Linked DNA regions of Saccharomyces cerevisiae S288C. The protein of the gene in region 1 interacts with the protein of each later gene in a biochemical or structural test. Each region holds a gene or a part of one and is shown on either strand. Other genes may lie near its edges.

What was found. The genes of interacting proteins can lie anywhere in the genome.
Region 2: the proteins of CNA1 (region 1) and JIP4 form a complex in vitro, tested with the Saccharomyces cerevisiae proteins (one study listed by BioGRID).

Annotation. Positions count from the first base shown.
Region 1 is NC_001144.5:1,003,931-1,007,530, reverse strand, and holds CNA1 (calcineurin catalytic subunit A), read left to right. Parts: upstream 1-1,522; coding exon 1,523-3,184; downstream 3,185-3,600. Other genes in the region: ECM30 (Ecm30p), read left to right, coding at 1-110; TSR2 (Tsr2p), read right to left, coding at 536-1,153; IMP dehydrogenase IMD3, read right to left, coding at 3,403-3,600. UniProt on the Saccharomyces cerevisiae protein: Calcium-dependent, calmodulin-stimulated protein phosphatase. This subunit may have a role in the calmodulin activation of calcineurin.
Region 2 is NC_001136.10:1,408,495-1,412,094, reverse strand, and holds the start of JIP4 (Jip4p), read left to right. Parts: upstream 1-2,000; coding exon 2,001-3,600. Other genes in the region: YDR476C (uncharacterized protein), read left to right, coding at 968-1,642.

The DNA.
Region 1 (3,600 bases):
CTTTTTTCAAGAAATTTAAATTCATTAATAGCGATAATGACAATTATAATAATAACGAATTTGATGATAATACACAGTTAAGATATACCTCTAGAGGGTTGTATAGATAGACACAAATTTTGACAATCACAAAGAAGAAAAAAGAAACTATTTACATATTTAAACATCTACCTCATGATTATTTATGTACGAAAATTTATAATTTAGTATAATTTAGTATTTTTTGCTTCTTATACTTAGCTTTAACTTAGCTGAACGATTAGACCTTAGCAAACACAAAATATAAAAATATGAAACATAAAAAATACACATGTTGAAGAAAAGTAAAAATCTTCACGTAGCGATGCATTGCCCACCTTTTAAATCTATATTGAAGATCTCCTCTAGAAGTCCAATGTTTAATACGTAACTTTCTTGATATATATTACATATTTTGGATAACTCCACCGAGATTTATCTAATTTTGTTGCTATTTCTTACTGGAAGTGCAAAAAAGCAGCGCACTATCAATTATAATATACAGATTTTGAAGATACTAGTGCTTTCTTCTTCCTTTTGGTTGAACCAATTCAAAACCGTCTTCGTCAACAATTGGTTCAGGTTTAGACGATACTAAGTCAGGTACAACCTCGTCCATCTCTTCATCTTCATCTTCGTCATCATAGTCCTCTACATCTTCATCGTCTTCATCATCATCACCCTCAATATGCACAACTCTTTTTGATTTTTTAGTTCTCTGCTTTTCTTGCCATTCCAAATACAATTTTTCTACCTTATTATAATTTAAATTGAAACAGTCGTTATATATGTTGATGACCTCCACGGCAATCGGTAAAGCCGAGTCGTCTTCAACATTAGTTTCAAATTCATCTATCATTGCATAAAGTAACGTTTCTTCGATTAAAGCGGCGTCAACAACTTTTTCATTTTTGAAAAGGTCTACTACAATCCCTGTAATCCAGTCTCTCTTCTCAGCTGAGTCTGGACCACCCCAACTGTTTTCTACGGCAACATCCAACGCATCCCACTTATAAATAACCATGGAAACACCGAGCTCAAAACGTGCCTGTTGCTTTTCGTCAGAGAACATTAGATTGGTTTTACCTTGCTCAGCCTGAACAAATGCTGTCTCATCAATATATTGTGTGCTCATTGTTCCGTAAGGATTATCACTATAAAAATTTTTCGCAGATTTCTTTGGACTCCACCTTTCTTCCTGTTGCAATAAATACAAACTGTTTGAATCATTTTGATATTCATCTATATCTATTTCAAAATTTTTCATGTCATCGCCTCTTGAAACATGAATTTTCCAATTCTGAAAAAGAACGTACTACTGGGAAACAAAAGGGAAAAATGTATAAATCCTTTAATGTTTTTGAATCAAGAGGCATTATTATAAAAGAACGAAGCAAAGCCTTTAATATTTGCTTTATTAAAGGTATTATTCAAAGAAAAGTTTTTTTAGATTCTTTTTTTTTTGACGTATTAGCTCAGCTGCCATAAAACACTCTCAACGCCAATGTCGAAAGACTTGAATTCTTCACGCATCAAAATCATTAAACCTAATGACTCTTACATAAAGGTTGACCGGAAAAAAGATTTAACAAAATACGAATTAGAAAACGGTAAAGTAATTTCTACTAAGGACCGACCTATCGCTTCTGTACCTGCCATAACAGGAAAGATACCAAGTGATGAGGAAGTATTCGACTCCAAGACGGGATTACCTAATCATTCCTTTTTAAGAGAGCATTTCTTTCATGAGGGTCGACTTTCTAAGGAACAGGCCATAAAAATCTTAAATATGTCAACTGTAGCATTGAGTAAAGAACCCAATCTACTAAAACTCAAAGCGCCAATTACTATATGTGGTGATATTCACGGGCAGTATTATGATTTATTGAAACTGTTTGAAGTTGGCGGTGACCCCGCCGAAATCGACTATTTATTCTTGGGGGATTATGTTGATAGAGGTGCATTCTCTTTTGAGTGTCTGATTTATTTGTACTCCTTGAAGTTGAATAATTTAGGGAGATTTTGGATGCTAAGAGGTAACCATGAGTGTAAGCACTTGACCTCTTATTTTACTTTTAAGAATGAGATGTTGCACAAATACGATATGGAAGTTTACGATGCTTGCTGCAGATCATTCAATGTCTTACCATTAGCAGCTTTAATGAACGGACAATATTTTTGTGTGCATGGTGGTATCTCTCCAGAGTTAAAATCAGTAGAGGATGTTAATAAAATTAATAGATTTCGAGAAATCCCATCTCGTGGTCTCATGTGTGACCTACTATGGGCCGATCCTGTCGAAAATTATGATGATGCAAGAGATGGTAGCGAATTTGATCAGAGCGAGGATGAATTCGTACCTAACAGTTTGAGGGGTTGCTCTTTCGCCTTCACTTTTAAAGCATCATGCAAGTTTTTGAAGGCAAATGGTTTGTTATCTATTATTAGAGCACACGAAGCACAGGATGCTGGGTACAGAATGTATAAAAACAATAAAGTAACAGGCTTCCCGAGCTTAATAACCATGTTCAGTGCGCCAAACTACCTGGACACATATCATAATAAAGCTGCTGTGTTAAAATATGAAGAAAACGTCATGAACATCAGGCAGTTTCACATGTCTCCGCACCCTTACTGGTTGCCTGATTTTATGGATGTTTTCACCTGGTCACTACCTTTTGTTGGCGAAAAAGTTACTAGCATGTTAGTGTCTATATTAAACATATGTAGTGAGCAGGAACTTGACCCAGAATCGGAACCCAAAGCTGCGGAGGAGACTGTAAAGGCAAGAGCAAACGCAACTAAGGAGACCGGCACCCCATCTGATGAAAAGGCGTCATCAGCGATATTAGAAGATGAAACCCGAAGAAAGGCTTTGAGAAATAAGATATTAGCTATTGCTAAAGTTTCAAGAATGTTTTCGGTGCTAAGAGAAGAGAGCGAAAAAGTGGAATATTTGAAAACTATGAATGCCGGTGTCTTACCTCGTGGTGCTCTAGCTCGTGGGACTGAAGGTTTGAATGAAACGCTAAGCACTTTTGAAAAGGCTAGAAAGGAAGACCTTATTAATGAAAAATTACCACCATCTTTATCGGAGGTTGAACAAGAGAAGATTAAATACTACGAAAAAATATTAAAGGGAGCGGAGAAAAAGCCACAACTGTGATAAATCTCATTTTATTCTTTTTTATTCCTATGAGATGCAACATCGAATTCTTGTGCTACTGTCACGATCCGCAAGAGATAATATGAACTAACAAAATACGAAGAAAATATAGATCATTTCCAGTCTATTTCTTGATTTCCATACTTAACTGCGAGCAGAATAAATATAAACACATATTTTTTAGTTTTATTTTATTATTAATGAACCCTAGTTACCAATTAGTTATGTAAACGCTTTTCGTAAGAATGTAAGTTATGAACACCACCTTCTAGTTGAGCAGAAGCGGTTCTAAATTCAAATCTAACTTTACCGCTTTGGACATTTTCCTTTAATAAAGTTAGGGACTTGTAACCAATGTCTTGACAAGAATGTTGTAAACCGTTGTACAAATATGGAATAAATTTCTTGATAGAACC
Region 2 (3,600 bases), on another chromosome or scaffold:
CCCAAAGCTATGTCTTGGCCCCTATAACGCTACCTGTTGATGTGCCATACTCTTACCAACTTTCTTTTACGTTAAAAATTTCCATCCCCTTCCGCTACGAGAAAAACTGCAGAGGGTAACTATGACATGTACTTTCTAATATGGGCCTATAAGGACTATATACATATGACTAACATTGAGTAAAACCAGGTCTCGAGTCCCATCATCACGCCCATCCTTTTGCATCCACGCCGCCACGCAATTCCTCTTTTTTTGAAGTTACTTGCGTCATGTGGGACATCATATGGGACATCATAGCCTGCAAGATCGAGAGTTAAATATACGACTAAAAGAAATAGTAGCACACTGCCATTTCCAGCTTTTAGTCCCTTGGGGAAGGTTCAGCATTTGATAGCAAATGATTGTACAGTTTATAACCGTATCTAAACGTACGGACATGTTTTTTCCTAGGGCCTCTATTAAAAAAATCTTTGAAATTTCCCTTCAATGCCACCCTTTTTTGCCAGGCATTGGTGGCCATGATTTGTTATGGCTTCCAAGAAAAGGTTTTACTACAGACGCCTTTACTACAGAAGATGCCTCTTCCTATCGTGATTTGCCCTCCAGACAAAAGCCGCGGACATAACGATGGCGGATTGCATTAGACAATGATTGCTATACGGAGGCGAAAGAGATAGCTAGCGACTTCTTAAAGGCGACATTGCTCCGCTACAAACGTGGTGGAGTTTTAACCCTACGAATTCAGTTACAAGGTTGAAGTTAGTGAGCAGCTTCTGTTCTGCCGTTTCTTGCGCAGTCTTGAACTTTCTTGGTCTTGCCATGTGGTCGGGATATTCTGTTCGTTTATAATTACTCCTTGCCACAAAGTGCACACCTATTTGGATATGGTATATATAAAGAGTGGAGGCTTATATCGGCGAGAGCGTGCGTTCTATCAACTCAAGCAAGTATACGGGTATACACAAGTATGTGGGATTCGTTAATTGTAAGCATCAACGATACGCACAAGTTGGGGCTGGAGGATTGTCTCGCCGTTTTTGGCCACGTTCCCATTACCAAGGCCGTCAAGCATGTCAGACTGACAGAGATCGACACGCAGACGTCCACGTTTACGCTCAAGTTCCTTCACACAGAAACGGGTCAGAACATCGAGAAGATTATCTACTTCATTGACAATGACACGGGCAACGATACCCGCACTGCTACCGGAATCAAGCAAATCTTCAACAAGATGTTCCGCATCGCTGCGGAGAAGAGGAAGCTGTCGCTCATCCAGATCGACACTGTTGAGTACCCCTGCACTCTAGTAGACTTGTTGATCCTGGTAGGCGTGGCGCTACCGCCATTGTGCTACCTCTATCGTCCTGCACTGCACGCTATCTTTTTCCTGGTCCCTAATCCTGTGGGCTCCACCTTAGAGGCGTGGCTGGATAGTGATCTTGTGCTGCGACTCATCATTGTTGCCGAGTTCCTGACTCACGCCCTCGAGACGCTCATTTTCGTCGTCCCTAGGCTCAAGTACTACCGTGTTCCTGGCGAGTTCGTGCCCGAGTGGCTTCTTCTAGGTCTCCTCGAAGGTTACGGTCCTGCGAGACGTCTAGATACTAAGGCTCGCACTCTTGGCGAAGGGTCAGTTAATTAGTCCGAGGCCTTTTTTCATTTTGTCTCCCTATCCGACTGGAAAAGTTCTAGCGAAAAGTGCAGCAGACGCTGCAGCAACAGGAACAATTTCCGAATGACCCACCTGCGGTGGTGTGGCACACGCATTCTGCATGTCTCAATAACCTCTAGAATTATCTATATACTTTTTAGTAAACACAACTTAAAACCCTTTTGTCTTTTCCAACATATTTTGCATATAATTTTTGTAAAGGTTTTTTTCTTCTCTTGAGTCCACTCACTATTCGAAAGCAATATCAACAAATAGAAGCTTTCTTCTATTTTTAAGGGAAGGAATCTTTAAAGTACAAGGAACAGAAGATACTAAAACATAGGGGGAAATGGTGGTACGAGATCAAGATGAGGCGTTGAGAAATTCTTATAAATATGTTAAGCTGTATGTCAGGCAGGACCAGCTGGAGGATACGGTGGACATACTCGCTAAGCAGGACGAGGACAAGTCCAACAATGATGACAGGCGCAGTCTAGCCTCGATATTGGACTCGAGCAGTTCCGTCAAAAAGAAGGGGAAAGGCAGCAACGAAAAGTACCTACCATGCGTATCTTTCAACACAGTTCCCAGATCAAGGGTATCTTCGCCCTTAGATGAAGAGAAAAGAGAATTTCCTGGCGTGCAGATCTCTGCAGATTATACAATGGAGGAATATTATGACGACGAAAGTGGCTTTACCTCGGACAACAATGCCGACTACTTCTCCGGGAATAGCTATTCGAGTAGGCGAGAGGGCAGTGCTAGTCCCGGCAGGTATTCTTCTCCACCTCCTGCCTCTAAAAGAAACATCAAAATAGGTAAGATGTTTAAGATTTCTGAAAATGGTAAAATTGTAAGGGAAGACTATCCTACTACACCCACCGATATCAATGACGCTCTTGTGATTAGTAGGGCGTATGCCAATTGGAGACAACTATGGATCAAGAAGAAAAATCAGATAGATCATCGATTAGAACAAAAGCGCGATTTCTTCAATTACCCAACAATACTGTTTCCTCCAAACAAAAAAAAGTCGTCTGAGGGCGCTACTCCCACAATAAAATTCAATCCTCCCATAGAAGACGGCTTTACGCCTTTGACTAAGTCTCAAAAGCGGAAAGAGCGTGTTTTGAGCGAAAAGGTTGGGTTCCCGAACACTCCTCGAACGATATTGTGCCACATCAGCGGCAGGAAACATACTTGGGTAGCACTAGATTGGGCGCTACGAACTTTGATTCAAAATACAGACCACATTGTTGTGTTGGCAAACCTGCCCCGCCTGACTAAGAATAATTTCGAAGACAATGATTCGATGAGTGAGCGAAAAAGAATGCTAATGATGATGGATGATAGCAGGAGTGTTAGCTCAGCAAGAAGATCACGATCCAGATCGAGATCACGATCCATATGTACAAGAAGGGCACTTTCTCTGGGGCCTGAGGAATCTGACAACAAATTAAAGCACCAAAATTTTATCGAGTGGACATCTGGTTATACGCAGAACGAAATAGAACGTAAATTGCAAGATCTTTTTGATTATGTTACACTCATAATTCCGCAAGATCGTTCTGTCAAGGTCACTGTCGAGATCCTAATTGGCAAGACTAAAAAAACGCTTCTTGAGGCAATAAACATCTATTTACCTGATTTCTTTGTATCTAGCACTTTGAGGTGGGAGAGAACAGACAGCTTAGTTCGTTGGAAATCGAACTTTCTGACAGATAAACTGTGTACTAATTTTCCGATTCCAACGTTTATTGTACCGGCAAAGAGAATGTTCGATTTGGAAATAGATTTGCAAAAAGAGTTTAAAGAACCGGAGGTAACGAAACAAAAAAATACTAGCGGTCCAAAGCCTGGGTTCAGCCATTCTAAATCAGCAGATGCTAGCATTCCAACTATCTCAAATATCAAACGGAAGCAAGATAACGATTATTCTATAGATTCAC